4 linked regions of the Caenorhabditis elegans genome follow. The protein of the gene in region 2 purifies or fractionates together with the protein of the main gene of each other region. This does not show direct contact. Each region holds a gene or a part of one and is shown on either strand. Other genes may lie near its edges. The genes, in order: ttr-48, mpst-1, idhg-1 and idhg-2.

Region 1 (3,851 bases), on a different chromosome or scaffold from region 2:
AAATTGATCATTGAGCTCGCGTGTGCTTTCTAAGCCACTATGCGTGCATCACAAACTAACTGTATTGCATAAATTTTTCAGTGTACAAAAAATAATAATTTTTTGGACAGTATGAAAGTTTCAGTTATTTATCTAAAAAAATGGCTCAACCCCATTTTGAAAATTCATTATGTATCATAAAAATTCCATACAGAGAAAATTCGGCAAAACATTGAAACTTACTGGAAATTGTTGTCGAAAACGGCGGAACACAGAACACAACAATACTGAAAAGTTTTACTGTCCATATTGTCAGTTTTCAAAAACCGCCCTCTTTCGGTTCGTGCAATAACAGCTCTCATAAAATGAACAGTTTCAAGGCTTGTCCTCCGGTGAACAAAGATCAAATGAGAAAAGTTTCGTGAGATTCTTCTCTTTCTCACCTGGGTGGTTTTATTTTTCTCAACACCACGTCCTTTTCCTCCATATTTTCTGATCTGATATGCGTGATGTATCCGTTTTCCAAAACAGAACAACAGCCAGTGCCAAACAACAAAAACAAAATGAGTGCGAGCGCTTTGAAATGAGAAGAGAAATTTTACTGATTGCATTCATGGGGAACAACTTCTAAATAAAATTCAAAATATTTGATGTGAAATATAATGAAGAAAAAAATTGTGAAAGAAAAGTTAAATTTAATCGGTGAATTTGAACTTCAAATCATGGGTCTCTTGTGGAAACTCCAACTCCAAATTGAGAATTCCAAAGTCATACACCTTTCTTGCTTTGATTCCGAGTGTTACGTAATCTTCTGGAAGACGGACACCAATTCGTTTGTAGCCGTACTATAAAAATAATTGATTTTTGTTTCGTAAGTGCTGGTCTTTGACTTACATTGGATGTTTGCTTATTGTCCATTCCGCAGTTGTGATGAATTGTGACATATGGCTGGATATCGGTTTTGGTACGTGGGAATCTGAAAGTTAAACTTATAAAAACAAAATTTTAATCTTAATTCCAGGTTTTAAAACAAGGCAATTGCTATCAGCTATTTCTGAAATGTTGCAGTTGAACTTAGCACTATTTTCGAGGTCCCGAAAATTGCTGAAAATCTTTGGTTTCCTTAAATCTCTCCAATTTTGATGAGAATCACAATTTCTATATTTTGTGTAGAGATTTGAAGTATCGAGGAGCTTCCCGAATGTTTTTCTAAACCCAAAAACCTCTTAACTTTTGATAAGATTCTAAGGACCCCAAAAAATGAGTAAGAATATATTCATTCAGTGAAATAAAAGTTTGTAATTGTTAGAATTGTTCGTCTGAATTGCTTTTTCTATATAAGATACTAAAACCAGTCGATGTAATGGTGAAAAATAGCGAGTGTGAAAACGATTAAACATTATTGTTCTGGAGCTAAAAAATGTTTTTTAATAACTTCGGAAAATTATTTATTTCGAGTCAAAAAGTTGTAAAACCTCAGTTTACGCTTATTTAGAAAAAATATTCCAAAACTTTTGAAAAACTTCATTTAGATATTCGGTCAGTTTTTGGTCATATGAATGCGTTTCCATTATTTTTCATTGACCGTGCTCCACCTTTCAGAACTTGTATTTTCAAACTGTTCTCCAATTTATGCCACTACAACAATGTGTAAAACTTCCTTCTCATAATGTTTTCAGCACAAGATAATTCTGACATACTTCACTTCATTTCGAATGCACGCACTATTGGCACTATTGATAAGCAAGACATGAATAGAAAACTTTTGACTTTTTAAATAACCTTTTCTCAGCAAAAAATAACAAACCTCGCGGTACCTCCTTCAACTTGGAACATTCCCGTAATGTATGTGTTCTTTACGTCGAGTAGCTCGGCGAGATCTGACATGATTATGGTCTTGCTCAAAACTTGATACCTTACTTACCATCTGCTGCATTTGGTTGAAATGTTCTGAAAAGTCGGATCTTGGCTCCTTCGAAAGGCTTCTTTCCACAATACAGTTGTCCTTTGACTGCCATGGTTCTAAAAATATAAATTGATTTTTACAAAATTGAAAATTAAATTTACCTGTTGGCAATGTTAGTTGGGACATCAAGATCCGCTCCAGCAGAAACGTATGAAATTGGTAAAAGAAGAGCGGCGATAAATATGAAAATCATGCTGAAATGTGATAATTAAACGTATTTCTCAGCGATTCATGAATCAATAGAAAGGATATTGAAGAAGATACCGGAAAACAAAATGCTCAGTGAACACCTGACCTCTCAATAGAGATGCACGTAGACACCAATTGATATTGATCAAAATGTTCGACGCTTCCCAAAACACTTGGGAAGAATCAAAATGAAACGGTCGCAGTGTACAGTTTCATTATCAAGTTTCTAAACCGTTTTGATAGACCAAACACTGGTCAACACTATTCTAGCTTATCACTCTTATCGCGAAGCTATTGACAATAAGGACACTTTGGCTCTTCATTCAAAAGAAAAATAAACAATTTATATTGATTATATGATCAGTTGATGATTATTCAACATATGGTTCAACACAAATAAGAACAAATACATCTATTGACGTGATTTGGAGTTTTAAAGGTGGTGTAGTCGAATTTCTTTTATTTGTTTATTATATTTAAAATTGTCTGAAAACACCGAATTTCATAATGAAACTTCTTGAAAACTATTAAAAATAGTTATTACAGCTCAAAAAATAGCCTAAAATTAGAATAATTTGAAATTTGACCGACTTGTCAATGTCGCAGAGTTATACCCAAAATGTTGTAACCAAAATTGGACGACAAAAATTAGTTTCTAGACGCTGCGACATTTTTAAAAAACCATGGTGCCAGCTATGATGCAAAAATGACCAAATGTCATAGCCAACCTATTCAAACAATTTTTTGATAGGCGACTTCCAAAAAAAAAACAACATTTATACAACATACAACACTTTTAATTATTTTTAAAACAAATTTTTACAAAACCATACCACACCTAACTTGTGGTGACTCCACTTAAATTTTGATGAAAATTCACAAAAAATACCTGTATCTGAAATTAAATTTTTCTGGAAAATGTTGAAAGTGTTCAATATTTATCAAAAAATTATGCGAAAAAATAAAACTGTTCTCGAAAAGTTACATACAAAAATTGACCCTATCAGAAGAAAAGCTCCGGGTTTTAAAAATCGAAACCAGCAGTTCCAATTGAATATATCGTAACTATGCACCAGGAAGAATGGGGAGGTGAATATTCAAACGGAGTGTGTCGGTGGGTTTCAAGCAATTATCGGGAAAGAATGAGATGAACAACCTAGAAATCTCACCGGAACGTACAATTATCATAGATACACAAAAAGGCAAAAACACTCTGAGAAAAACATGAACTTTCAGCGTACAAAAAGAATGGTGTGTATTCGTTTTGATGACTAGTCAAAACGAGAGAAGCTGTGAAATTAGGTGAGGGTGAATGGCAGAAAAGACCATGAAAATCGAGTTACTAACCGCATCTGAGAAGCTGCTCAATTGTGTGGAGCACATCAAAAAAAAATAATTTTATTAGGCTAGAAAGTTCTACGGGATCCGAGAAATCAAACGTGCGAATCAGAAAGAAAAAAGAAACAGCGGGACAAAAAACCTGAGCATATGGTATTTGAAAAGCGAATAAAAGAGTTGTAAATGCAACATACTGCTATCAGACGAGAAACCGGGCAATAGAACAGTCAACCGGAATGGGGGGAAAATGAGAAATTATGTGTGCAATCGAAAATGTTATGCTTGAATTTTGAAGAAAGAATGCAGAGATTTGAAAAAAAAACTGCTTGAACTGCTTTGAACGCTCTTGATTACCGTAATGACGCAAAATGTTGAGGTA
Region 2 (3,569 bases):
TTTCTCATCAAATCATTCGTTTTTAAAATAAGAAGCATTTCTCGTGGCATTCGTGCTAGTACTTCACTGATTTGAGGTATCAACGACGAAGCATACATACGAAGCTCATCTTTTTCACTTTCATTCATTTTCGACTTTCCAATTCCACCTGTGACCGACTTCCAAGAACGTCGAGTGACCATGCATGCAAATAGACCGTAGAGTTCCCCAACTCCCATTTGACTTGCAACTTTCTGAAAATATTAGCTTTCACTTAATTATATATTTTAAAATAACTAACGCGGATCTCTTGGAGATCAGGCTTCAGAATTGCCAGCCAAAGATCGGAATACAGTTTACGAATGTGATCACTGATATTCAAGTACAAACCATGATCCAATAGCACAATTTCATATTTTCCATTTCCTAGGCTGTTGATCAGTACATTTCCAGGGTGCGGATCCGAGTGCAAATATCCTTGTAGAAAGATCATTTCAGAAATAGTTTTTCCTATTTTCATACAAACATCATGTGGATCAATATTATTCTTTTTTAGGTATTCCACATCATCAACATGTGCTCCTTCACAAAATTCCATGGTGAGTACTCTCGTTGTAGTCAAATCGTATTTAATCTTTGGAATTCGTAGAAATTTCAGGTGCTTGAAACGTTGAGCTGCTTCATCGGCATTTTTCGCTTCGTGCAGAAAATCAAGTTCATTTGGAAGATTCTTCTTTATTTCGTCCACTAGCCACATAAGACGGAATTCCGGAAAGACTGCATCGGCAACTTTTACTAAGAATTCCATAGTGTTAACATCGGTCCTGCTATTCTTGTAAACTCGTTTATGCTGAACTTTAACTGCAACCGTCTCCCCAGATTCTTTTAGCTTTGCTTTATGAACTTGTGCCAGGCTTGCCGCTCCAACTGGTTTTTCGGAAAATTCCGAAAATAGGTCGCCGACTTTTGCGTTTAATTCTGACTCCACGACGTAAATGACATCCTCCTTGGATGCTTGTGGAGCTTGCGAGGTGAGAATGCTTAATGTTTGAGTGTACTCTGGTGGTATCAAATATTCCATTCCCGAAATGTGTTGTCCAACCTATATTTTCATTTATTTCAATAGAAATTTGAAGTATAATTCAGCTACCTTGATGAAAACACCTCCGTTGACACAGGCCAACTCCAAAAGATGCTCCGCACTTCGCTGGTGACATTTTTTGATTGCATCATCGTATTCAGAAGATGGCTCTGGAAGTCCACGCAATGAAGTTTTGTAGTCAATTACAATTTTCCCTACCTGAAAATTCAGATCGAAATTTTTTGTAAACAGTTTAGTTTAAACAACTTACGGTTGAAGCAGCTCTCCCAAATCTCAGCAGTCCTAATTGTCTTAAGTCTTCAACGGAATCTACCGTGTACGCTGTATAGCCTGCTCCAGCTCCAGTTCCCACAAATAAGACCTTGAAAACGTTTTTAATTAATACGATGCTTTGAAAACTTAAACAACTTACTTTTGTGAGTGGCTTAAACGCCAGTATTTTTCTAATAATCATGACACCGGGCTGAAAATAACTGAAAATGATGGAAATTCATCTCAAAAAATATCGACGCAAGTGCGCTCCATTGATTGCAGAGAGAGTATGTGTATTCTGGAGGTCAGAGACATTTTTGAAAACAGTTTTTATTTTGCAAAACAGTTTTGAAATCAAAGTTCTTGCTGTTTTCAGAATGTTCTTCTTTGCCTTTTTTTCATTTTTAAGTAATTTTTTTCTCAGTAAAAATATAAATCTCTTTAAACGGTTTATGTTCAGTGTCTTTTCGTAAAATATTTTAAAAATTATTAACAATTACAGTAATTATGAGTCTCAAAAAAATAATCGATGTAAAATCAGTTAACACTCTTCTGAAAAAAGGAATTATCAATAAAGAAGGAGTGCGGATCATTGATTGCTCATTTGCTGTGGCGCCGCGTCCAGATTGGAAAGAATTCGAACAAGAGGGTTATGGCGATTTCAAGAATCTCATGGCTGAGCCCAGCCCGTATGTTTATTCAAATTTTAATTTAAAAAAAAACAAAATTTGAAGGTCCCGGAACTTGTACCTGGCTGGACACATTCCGGAAGCTGTGCATGTGGACCTGGACATTGCCACATATCCATCTCGTTATCAAAGATTCCAACAATACCGCGCGGATCTTTTCGAAGAATATGCTCAAATGGTTGGATTGAACAATAAAGAACATTTCATCTTTTACGGAAAAGGAGCATTTGGTGGAATGCTTTTTGCTTCAAAGGTTGCTTGGATTTTCAAATCCTATGGCCATGAAAACATTTCTCTTGTCGATGGAGGATTTGATTCATGGAAAAGAAATGGATTTGAAGTATCTACAGAACTCGTAAAATTGCCTGCAGGAAACTTTAAAGCTGAAGATAATTTCAAAAAATATGTCATCACATTCCAAGAACTCGAAGCTAAAAAAGACGGCGAAGATAAACAGTTTATCGAAAAAACATCAGAAATTAACTTTCTGGACAGCAGAATTCGTGGTCAATTCGATGGAACTCAAGAGACCGGTCTTGATCCACATCTTGTAAACGGCACTAGAATCGCTGGTTTCAAAAATCTACCTAGTGCAGAGCTTCTTGTGAAAGGCGGAAATTTGAAAAGTGAAGAAGAAATCAAGTCATGTAAAAGATAATGAGTTTTCCGATAATCTCAACTTTTCTAATTTAGGGCTCACTCAAAACGGATATGTTGAAAATCAACCGACAATCACATCCTGTAATGCTGGAATTCAAGCAGCACTTTTGGCGTACGTAATCGATGCTGTGAAGCCATCACAGAATCCTCCCCGCGTATATAATGGATCCTTAAAAGAGATGGAGCTTCGAGCACCGAAGAAAATTTCGGAGGGACCACAGCATTTGCCTCATTAATGTTTAGTTTTGTAGGATTTTTCTTTTATTCAATTTTCATAGATAGATATTGTTGTTATTTTGTTTCTTACTTCATAAAATTTTGGAATAATTTTATTCATTTTTCCTTTTAAATGGTTACTTGACTACCATTCAGACTATTTAGTTGAAAAATCTCGAACATCAGAAACCACTGATATCGAAAAATGATTTTTCATCTTCATTGTGTGATAAGAATTTCAGTTCATAACTTTTGAAAATTGTTCTTCACTTTTATCGTTAAAGTATGAAAAACTTCGAAATTGTCACCGTTACCCCGGATCATGCCGAACAACTCATTTCAATGATTCATGTAGGTTTATTTCTTCTTCTTTATTTGAAAAGAAAATAAACATTTGCAGGAGCTCGCGGAGTTTGAAAAAATGAAGAGCAGCGTGGTGAATACTGCCGAGAAATTGAGAAAAGATATTGAAAACAAGGCAGTGCATGGTACGATTTTGATTTTTAATTGATCATAAATCGAAATTTAGGATTCATTGCATTTATCGGAGAGGAGCCAGCTGGAATGAACCTTTTTTACTATGCATATTCAACATGGGTTGGGCAGGTATTTATGAAACAGTACTGAAATTCAACCAAAAAATCATCATTTCAGTATCTTCACATGGAAGA
Region 3 (5,151 bases), on a different chromosome or scaffold from region 2:
TCAATATATTTGTTTGTAAATAAAGTAATAAAGTTTCGATCTTTTCTTTTAAAAAATTTCCGATCGCTAAAAAAATAAAACTGACCAAAATTTTAAAGTTTGTTTCAAAAAGAAACTGAAATTTTTGGTTTTTTTAAACAGAATAATTTACGACGACCCTTCCGTATAGAAAAACTAATGTTTTATTTAAAATTAAAATTTACTGTTTCAGAAGATAAAAAATCGTCACTGACTGGCAAAAATGCATCATTTGTGAATACATCCTTCCAACCGGAAGATCATGATGATCCAACCGACTTGTAAACTGGAATTTTTCATATTTCTTTTTATATATTACACAATTTGTTCTTTTTAGTGATTTGCAATTCACCCTCCCCCCAAAGTTGTCGTTGTGTCAAATTTAGAATCACTTATTTTCTCAATTATTTATTTTCTTTTGGTATTTTCCCGCCAATGTACTTATGATATGTATAATATGGAATATGCTTTCCTTGTAATTTTCATATTTTGGTATCCACCCACGCATGTAGTTGTGATAGACTCAATCTCCCAGTTTCATATGCATATTTTCTGTAATTTATTAATTCTTTTTTCAACTTTTTTTCTGCAAGTTTTAGTACAATTTTTCTGACCCGAAATAAATTATTTCGAATTGAAATGTTCGATCGACATTTGATTTTGAAAAAGAACTTACAACGCATGTTGCTTTCACCAGACCATCCGGTATATTGAACTAAAATTTGTATTAGTTCAATATTTCCTAGATAGTCTGGTGAAATAAAGAATAGAATAGTTGTGGCAAAAAATGAATAATATTAAAGTGAGCTAGGGAGCATTCAAAAAGATACAGTAGCTACAGTAGTAAACTCCGCCTTTTTTCAAGCAGCTCTCAAGTATTGACTAATTAGGTTAAGAGCATATTGGTGGGGGGAGTACTTAACTTTGTGACAGTAACCTAATATTAACATTATTAACAGAGTATCGAATTTCACTAAACCAATTTTATAATATTGTACTATACTGGAAATGAGAAAAATTCAAACAATCAGAAAAAATTAAAATCCAAAGAAAATTGTGGGTACAGAGATGAGGAAGAAAGGAACAAGATAAGAGACATCAGGCGGAAACGTTCAGTCAACGGGGTCAAACAGAGAAAGAGCACAATGAGTAACGCATTATGCTACGAATCATGGATTAATCGAAAAAAAAACAGAGGAAAAGAACGTAAGGGTAAAGCTAGCCACTATGTGGGATGTTTCAAACTTTCGATTATCAGGTAGAAATTAGACACGGTAGTTGCGGTCCTCGAGCTCCTTCTCGATGAAGTCGAGTACTGATTGAACGAGTTCCGATGACTGAAAATTTATTAAATTAAAGTTTTGTAGTGCATTTTTAAAAAGTACTTATAAAGTTAATGTTCTAAAAAGTGAAGTCGTTTTGAAGTTTTGCTTAAAATCATCGAAAATGGACCATAATAACTGTAAAAAAATTTATAACATTTTTTCTATGATTTTTCCAATTTTGCAAGAATAAAAAATGTGAGTTCCGACATTTTTGCCTTTTCCGGCAATTTTTCAAATATTTTTTCCGCAAAGAAAACTTCATAAACCGAAATAAATTCGAAAACATTTCAAAAATTAGCCTAAAACTCGATAATTCATAAATTTCTTTGCGGAAAATGTATGTGTGTTTTATACCAAATACTAAAAAAACAAAATTAAGAGTAATCACTCAGTACAGCCGAAAAACGCAAAAAAACTATTCTACTTATTCGCGCGGAAATTCAGAAACACTTATCTTATTTTTTAATTTTGCAAAATATTAGAAAAATTGTATAAATTTTTAAATTACGGTCCATTTATGGATATCATCTTGAGCAAAATTCCAAAACGACTCTACTCTACTTTTAAATAAAGAAAAGGTAAGAATTTAATATATACAACTTTAGAAAATTAATGAAATTCTTACCTTAGAAGTTCCTCCAATATCAGCGGTGTGAATTCTCTTATCAACAAGCGTACGGAACAATGAATCGGAGATCATATCGGCGTGTGATTGAAGTCCGAGGAAACGAAGCATATCAACGGCGGCACGGATGAACGCAGTTGGATTGGCAAGATCTTTTCCAGCAAGAGTGGTTCCGGTGTTACGGGTTCCCTGAAAAAAACAAATGTTATTTAATATTTTCATCAATATGCTAACTGTTTCAAAGACGGCGTAATCTTCTCCAATGTTCATTCCAGAAACAAGTCCTGGACCTCCGACGAGTCCACAAGCAATGTTTGAAATGATGTTTCCATAGAGATTTGGCATTAACATAACATCGAATTGTTGTGGGCGTGAAACCTGGAAATAAATAAGGATTTTTAATTATTCGTCTTTTTTCAGAACATTTATTTTGATGAATAAATAAACAACCCACCAACTGCATGGAAGCATTATCGACAATCATAGCATTGAATTCAATATCTGGATACTCGGCCTTGGCGATATCAGTGGCTACTTTAAGGAAAAGACCGTCTCCCAACTTTTGAATGTTGGCCTTGTGAACAGCAGTAACCTTCTTTCTTCCATATTTCTTTGCGAATTGGAATGCAAAACGAGTAATTTGTTCCGATTTTTCGCGAGTAACAACCTTTAAATTTGAAATTAGGACTAAATCTCAGTTGATAATCCCAACCTTCAAAGATTCGACAACACGAGGATGTGGAGCATTAACGGCTTCGTGCTCATTTCCAGAGTACTCGCCTTCAGTATTCTCACGGATGATAACCATATCGATTCCCTAAAGCTTTTCATTTGAAATTTGTACAAATCGATTTAAAAAAATTCTTACAGTGTGTCTGCTTGGAACAGTTGGAATAGTGGAACAGTGAAGAACGTTTGCGTAAAGATTGAGTTGACGACGAAGTTCCAAGTTTCGGGAAACGAAGCTTGGGTTATCAAACTTAGTTTCAATGTTTCCCTTCAAAAAAAAAAAATTAAATTTGATTTTAATCTTTCAACAAAAATACCTTCAAAGCAACACCATTTCTCTTGATAGCAGTGATAGCCTCAGCAAGATCTTCAGATGCATCTTCCTTTGAGGTCAAATTAACCACTTCGAAATCTACTGGAGCTTGAACTGCTGAAAGGATTCTCTCGACATGATGGAGCATTTCTGGTCCAATTCCATCTCCTGGCAAGACTGTGACGTTGTGACGTCCTCCATAACGAGCCAGCTTAGTCTGAAAATTGATATTAATAGCAGATAAAAATGAATTACTTACTGTGTTAGTTTGAAGAACTGGAGAACGGAATCGGAGCATATCGGAGTTCGGTGAAGTCGCGACGAACGCCTTTTGCACGACATTCTTCGAAGAGCGAAGTGTATGACCGAGGACGTTGCTCGACATCTTGTTTTTACCTGAAATGTTAAAAAAATGGAATTTACTAGAAAAACAACAGTTTAAAAATGTACTTTTAAAAGTGCATGTCAGAATAGTAGCCAATTTTTTAAATAGAAGGGTATAGTATATTTCAAAACTTTAACAAAAAACATTAAATCTTCCCGATATCATCATTATCATTATGAAAACTCAGATTTATCACTAAACAGATAATTTTCAGAAATTATATGCACAAAAAAAGAGGGCGGAACGAGCCGACCGATTGATTTGCAAGCGCCGCACGTGTTTCTCGCAATTCCGCCGCGCGACATTTTCATTTTCGTCTTTTATGTTTATTTTGTCCATTTTCGTTCATTTCTATCTATTTCAAATATTTTTGCTTTTTCTCTCTATTTGAGGGTTCATTGGTTTGTGTTTACTTCTAGTCTAGATTGCAATTCAAGCCAACTGCCGGGGAAATCCGGGAATTCGAACAGCAGTTGGCGCTTGATTGATTTTCGCCGCCGAATTGTTGTTGCTTCGTTGTTTTGTTTTGTTGGTTGTCTCAAGCGCTTATCAGGTGATCTATTAGTGATTTTTGTGTAGAAATAAATGTCTTAGGATTGTTCTTTAAAGTTTGTTTCATTGAAAACTCTTTGAAATAGTTGTTTCATGTAGAACCTGGCACGCCTTTTTCCAAAAATAGCGTCTATTTCTTATACAGAAATCGGTATCCAAGAAATAGTTTTGGCTGAAGTTACAAAGTCTTTATTATTTTATTAACTACTATTTAAAACGTTAACTGTTACTTGATTATCTTTTTATTTGTTCGTTTTGCTGATTTACATGCTCCCGGACTGTTTCGAGAATGTTTCGCGCTATGAAACTGTTATTTTCCCCCATAGATAATTATTTTGTAGGTTGATGTAAATAATGCTTCGTCGATATTCACATTTTTACTCGATTCGATATTCTTCCACATTATTATCTACTTTAGACGGACTCACAAATCGAACAAGTGGAGATAAGTTACTCGTAAGTTGAACTATATTTTCCAATTATTTGAAAAAATTTTATTTTTCAGACTTATAGCGAGAAGTTTTCCAAATTATATGCCAATTCCACGCCAGAAACTCGAAAATCGATTTTCGTAGATCTCGTCACAAACTATGGTGTAAACAAAGAAGCCCTAAATCATGCGATTTCTCTATATTCTAAGGTTGGTTATTATCATTGACATCGTATGACCAAAAATTGTAAAGTTCAGAATGATCAAATGTACCCGGAAGTAAGAACATCAGCAACAGCTTCTTATGTGAATTTGATAAAATCAATTGGAAATTTACCGGGAGGAGTTATGCAAGTCTGTGAAATGAGGGCTAATATTTTGGTATTAAAATTAAAATAAAATTAGCATCGAATATATAATTATTTTCAGGCACTTCTAAAACGGGAAACTGACAAAACTACAACATCATATCTCCGTCACATTGAACTGGCCACTAGAGAAGTATTAACTTCATGGTTTTCTTTAGGAAATCTAAAATTGGAACGACTTACGTGGTCATCTCCTGGAGATATTCTACAGAAAGTCGCCGAATATGAGGCAGTTCATCCAGTTAGAGGACTTTCAGATTTCAGAAAACGTCTTGGTCCGTTGAGACGGTAATTATGAAATAAAAATAAAAAACTAAAATTTCATTTTCTCAGATGTTTCTATTTTTCCCACGAAGCTCTTCCCCGGAACCCACTTGTGATGGTTCACGTGGCATTAGTTGATGAG
Region 4 (4,999 bases), on a different chromosome or scaffold from region 2:
CACGAATAGATTTGCTTTTTATTCAACTAATAATAATTAGTTTGAGCCTTAATTTGTATTCGCAAAAAATTTTTTGAAATAGCTTCAGAATTGTAAAAATTATTTTCTATAAACTTTTGAAATGGAGAGCTTTAACAGAGGAAAACATTGACTGACTATTGATGTTGAACCGATTCGTCTCCGTCCCTTCTTTTCTGTTCTATTTGTATTTCATTTGTCGTTGAATCGTTAATCTGAATGGTCAACACTACAGGCTCTTTCTCTGGGTTCATAAGCTTCAGAAAACAATTGTTACAATGAGAAATGATGTGGTGTACTGTCCAAGGAGAATAAAGATCAGATACAAAAATTTTCAAAATTTAATCTACGTTTCAAATTTTGGTTCATTTCTCTGTTTGAATTTCCTTTGCCCTGTCTGATTGGTCATGGGGCTCTAATTTTTGGATGAAATATGAACAGGGGATATTCTAAAATTGAAAATTCGTGTTTTTCAGAATTGCGTTTTTCATTAAGTTTTATAAACCCACAAATCAATTTCAATATTTTTATTTATTTACAAAAGTATAGTTGAAAAACATAAAAACCTGACACGAAATATTAAAATCCAGAAAATTAAAATTATATCAAAGCACGAGAAATTTCATCAATGTTTTGGGTTCTCGTCCATCAAAACTTTGATGTTCTGAAGAGTTGCGTTGATAACATCACTGGCCTGTAACAATGGTTTAGGTTTTTTTTTGGAAACTATTTAATTTTACTTACCGAATTATTTCCTCCAATATCAGCAGTGTGAATTCTTTGTTCAACAAGAGCCTTCCACAATGCATCGGAAATAATATTAGCGTGATAATGGCATCCCAAATATCTCAACATATCAACAGATGCTCGAATGAACGCAGTTGGATTGGCAATATCTTTTCCAGCAAGAGAAGTTCCAGTATTACGAGTTCCTGTTTCAAAAACAGCATATTTATCTCCAAGATTCATTCCAGACACTAATCCAGGTCCACCGACAAGGCCACATGCAATGTTCGAAATGATATTTCCATAAAGATTTGGCATAACCATTACATCGAACTGTTGAGGTTTAGAGACAAGTTGCATTGAGGCATTATCCACAATCATTGCTTCAAATTTGATATCCTTATAATCTTCTGACATGTCCCGAACAACCTGAAATATCATTTAATATTCATTATTTTAGGCCTTAAATTGAAACGTTAAAAACACACCTTTAGGAAAAGTCCATCTCCAAGTTTCTGAATATTAGCTTTATGAACAGCTGTAACCTTCTTTCTTCCATTTGCTTTTGCATATTCAAATGCCATTCTTGAGATTCTCTCAATTTTCTCACGGGTGACGATCTCAAAGTATTTATTTAACTGAAAATACAGGAAAGTAGGAATTTGAACTCACTTTAATGCTTTCTACGATTCCTGGAACTGCTTCATGTTCTAATCCAGAGTATTCTCCTTCCGTATTTTCACGTATAAGAACAATATCAATTCCCTTAAAAATAAGAAGTTTTAACAATTGAATACAATTTTTTTAAACTCTCCAACTGAAACAAATTGGTAAGTTTACTTACAGAATGTCTGGTAGGTACTGTTGGAATTGTGACACAGTGAAGAATATTGGCATAGAGATCCAATTTAGTTCTGAGTTCAACGTTACGAGAGTTGAATTGTGGATCGTCGTGTTTTGTTTCAATGTTTCCCTGAAATTATTTTATATACATTAGTTGTAATATTTATATTTTGACATTAAACTAATGCAAATTTTTAATTCAATTCAAAAAAACAGAGGTACTTTTTTTTACAATTGAACAAGCAGGTATTTCACTAATTTTATTTAATTCATTACCTTTATAGCAACACCATTTCTTTCAATTGCCAGCATAGCAGCATCCATGTCTCCATCCAAAAGCGACGATGAGACTTGCACTTCTTCAAAGTTGACTGGAGCCTAAAATTAACATCTGTCTCTTTTTTTTGCTTCACCTTATCCATTTTGGTAGTTCTCAACATGTGAAAAAGGATTACGATTAACTTGTATTCTACCAACTTTTTAAAAAAATCAAAAAGAGTCGAGATACGAGCAATCAAAGTTGAGCAATAAAATCCAAAACTAATAGAAGAAAAACGATACTAAAAAAGCTTATGAGCAGTGAAGAATATTGAAATTAAATATTGTGTGTTTTAAACCCAAACACGGTTACGGTATATTGTAAATCCAGTTTAACGTGACTTTAAAATGATAACTTGAATATGGTTTTTAGAACTTTCACATTCTTGAAGAAGCAAGCTTAAATTCAAATGTGGGTACTTGTGTATGATACCCCCGCCATTAAACATTAATTTTTTACCTTATAAAATAAAAATGTGTGGAATTTTAGGCTTAGGAAAACAGCACTCCGAAGCCTAATAAGGAAAATGGGTATCACGTTTAATTTAAACAAATAAATTAATGGAAATTTGATTAATTTTTACAATGGCGGGGGTATAATACACAAGTACCCAAATGTGCATAGTAGACTTTATATTTTCAAGCATGGGAACCTACATGACAAAACGAGAAAATATTTCTGATATGGGCAATCATCTCGGGGCCAATTCCATCTCCAGGAAGGGCACAAACTGTATGTCGACCACCATATTTTGCTAGTGGGAGCTGAAAAAGTGATTATATTATGGTTTTTGGAAGAATTGCATTTTGCTACATTTTATTTTATAATTTTAATTTTCTGATAAGATAACTCTTACTCTGTGACCTGGAATTTGATGGGTACGGATTGCAGAGGCAGCTCCACGAACCGCTTGAATCGGAAGTTTTGAGAACATTCTTAAATTTTTGTTCTTTAGTTATAAAAGCTTCGTTATTGATTCATTGTCAGTTAGGAATTCGATTAGGAAGTTAAGAAGAACTTAAAATATCTCAAATTCGTAAATTTTTTTGCTAGAGACTGTCTAGTATTTCAAAATTTGAGACAATATGTATGTAGCTATAGAATATTTAATTTGAGAAAAAAGGTATCGATTAAATGTAGCATGGGATTCTCCAATGCTCAGGGTCCCGGGAACAAAAAGACGGGCGTTTTCATGAACATCTGCGTCTCTACATCTCTCTTATCTCTAACGTGGTAAACAACTTGGCAGGCACACACACATTTGTTCGGCTTATCAAGAAAGAAAAGAAAAGTTTGGCAGAGAAAATTGAAAAAGATAGGGAAGTGCGGCTCAATTCAGGTGCAAGAACACCCTGACACGTGTTGAATGTGGTCAAAATTTCAGAGTTTTGACTGAAAATTGATGAGACATAAATGGGGAGTTGTAATAAAAAATATTAGACGAATTGAAAGTTTTGTCACTAGTGGAAAAAAAACGATATGACTTCAGTGTGTGAGAAGATAGAAATTTCTTTATTTGGAAACGAAGAGTTTTAAATCATACTCCGGTGCGGGAAATGTTTCGCTAGGTGCTAAATTTTTCGGGATTAATCCTAGTTTTCTCTGGCCACTTCAAAATTTGAAACTTCATAGACTTAATTTTCTACATGAAATGAATTCTCCTGTATAACTTGGCACCTGTAATGACAACAATTACTGAGATCGTGGCGAGACCCACTCGAAACATTGGCAGTGCCTTTAAACTGACATGTCAAAACTTCGCGAAATCACGATATTTCTATACTTCCGATTTTATTTTAAAAAACTTATACAGTTCTTCTCAAGTTTTAAGATTGCTTGACACTTTTAAACTTTTTTTTAAATAAAAATAATATTATTGGAAATGTTCGTTTGCAATTTTTATAGTGAACTACGGTATGCAATCAAAGTACGCAAACACATCGACGCACTTCTCACAGACTGAGATTCGAGGAATTATTTTTTTTTATTTTCTCATCTGTTTTCAATCGGAAAATCGTTGCTCAAGATGACAATTAATCCGACTGATTACGTCTGTAAGTTATTTTATAAAATAATCTAAAAATTTTAAACACCTAATTTTCAGATGAAGAGCCCCCACTCACGCCTGATGGAAGAGTTCAATTTTTGGGGCCCGAAACTGTCAAGTACATTTCTCCACGAAGAGTGGAGGTTATGCGGCAACATATCAGACCAGAGTGAGTTGAAGAAAGAAAATTCATTGGAATAAATTCACAATTTACAGGATTTCTCAATATTCTCAACAACAACCGCCACCATATTATTCATCTCAAGTCTATCCATCAGTTCCATCTGCTCCACCAATTCAACCACAGCCTCAAATGGTTCCAGTTTCAATGCCAATGGTTCAACAGCAGTACATGATGCCCCAAATGGCTCAAATGATGCCTCAGCAAATTGTTATGCAGCAACCGATCATGACAACTGCAGGACCACAGATGATGATGACTCAGATGGCTCAAATGGCCAATCCAGTGCAGCTTGTCTCACCTCAACCGCCTGTCCAAGCCCCACCGCAACAGCAGGCGTCGCCAGGTATATTCGATAAGTAATATTAAAAATTATAAAAAAATTATACAAGATATATATATATGTTTCGGCGAAACTTCATTTTTATAAAATACTCGATACTCCTTGTTTTTTATTGAAATCCAGTCTCAGACATCGAGAAAAAAAGCGCTCGAACACAAAATTAGAACTCAAAAAACCGGATGTCCAATTTGTGAGACCTAGTCTAGACAAATTTATTTTTATTCATAATTTCAAGTTGCCATTCACCTTTTTTTAATCATCAAAAAGTAGAAATTTCCACTTCTTCTTTTATTTATCTTAAAATTTCAGCTATAACTCTGTGCGTTAACCAGTCTCCACAAATTGGTGGATCTCCCGGAGGAGGTGTGGGTGCACTCGTCTGTCCGAAATGTCGAAAAGGAATCATCATGCGAAAACAAGATCGATTGAGAAAGGTTAGTCATTTTTGCTGATTATTTTTAAAGTGCAACGAGATGATTTTGATAGTCAGAAACGAAAATATTATAAATAGCTGATTTACAT

Evidence for each region.
Region 1: the proteins of mpst-1 (region 2) and ttr-48 fractionate together in Caenorhabditis elegans (co-fractionation; one large-scale study listed by BioGRID). This does not show direct contact.
Region 3: the proteins of mpst-1 (region 2) and idhg-1 fractionate together in Caenorhabditis elegans (co-fractionation; one large-scale study listed by BioGRID). This does not show direct contact.
Region 4: the proteins of mpst-1 (region 2) and idhg-2 fractionate together in Caenorhabditis elegans (co-fractionation; one large-scale study listed by BioGRID). This does not show direct contact.

What each region holds. Positions count from the first base shown.
Region 1 is NC_003284.9:3,840,310-3,844,160, forward strand, and holds ttr-48 (Transthyretin-like family protein), read right to left. Parts: upstream 2,140-3,851; 5' UTR 2,139-2,139; coding exon 2,047-2,138; intron 2,002-2,046; coding exon 1,904-2,001; intron 1,860-1,903; coding exon 1,787-1,859; intron 956-1,786; coding exon 874-955; intron 825-873; coding exon 675-824; 3' UTR 560-674; downstream 1-559.
Region 2 is NC_003283.11:11,825,334-11,828,902, reverse strand, and holds mpst-1 (Putative thiosulfate sulfurtransferase mpst-1), read left to right. Parts: upstream 1-1,835; 5' UTR 1,836-1,840; coding exon 1,841-2,022; intron 2,023-2,067; coding exon 2,068-2,669; intron 2,670-2,715; coding exon 2,716-2,918; 3' UTR 2,919-3,009; downstream 3,010-3,569. Other genes in the region: D2023.6 (ABC1 atypical kinase-like domain-containing protein), read right to left, coding at 1-233, 281-1,081, 1,130-1,279, 1,332-1,442, 1,494-1,535; D2023.4 (Thialysine N-epsilon-acetyltransferase), read left to right, coding at 3,184-3,249, 3,299-3,386, 3,428-3,504, 3,553-3,569.
Region 3 is NC_003281.10:4,567,268-4,572,418, reverse strand, and holds idhg-1 (Isocitrate dehydrogenase [NAD] subunit, mitochondrial), read right to left. Parts: upstream 3,407-5,151; 5' UTR 3,396-3,406; coding exon 3,270-3,395; intron 3,228-3,269; coding exon 3,015-3,227; intron 2,966-3,014; coding exon 2,837-2,965; intron 2,786-2,836; coding exon 2,681-2,785; intron 2,636-2,680; coding exon 2,423-2,635; intron 2,347-2,422; coding exon 2,203-2,346; intron 2,158-2,202; coding exon 1,969-2,157; intron 1,356-1,968; coding exon 1,284-1,355; 3' UTR 554-1,283; downstream 1-553. Other genes in the region: Serine/threonine-protein kinase sel-5, read left to right, coding at 212-303; mlcd-1 (Malonyl-CoA decarboxylase, mitochondrial), read left to right, coding at 4,302-4,403, 4,453-4,587, 4,636-4,758, 4,807-5,033, 5,079-5,151.
Region 4 is NC_003279.8:6,972,603-6,977,601, reverse strand, and holds idhg-2 (Isocitrate dehydrogenase [NAD] subunit, mitochondrial), read right to left. Parts: upstream 3,045-4,999; 5' UTR 2,841-3,044; coding exon 2,763-2,840; intron 2,671-2,762; coding exon 2,563-2,670; intron 1,966-2,562; coding exon 1,864-1,965; intron 1,718-1,863; coding exon 1,589-1,717; intron 1,510-1,588; coding exon 1,417-1,509; intron 1,365-1,416; coding exon 1,233-1,364; intron 1,174-1,232; coding exon 763-1,173; intron 713-762; coding exon 644-712; 3' UTR 531-643; downstream 1-530. Other genes in the region: C30F12.4 (LITAF domain-containing protein), read left to right, coding at 3,933-3,960, 4,011-4,122, 4,170-4,480, 4,787-4,911.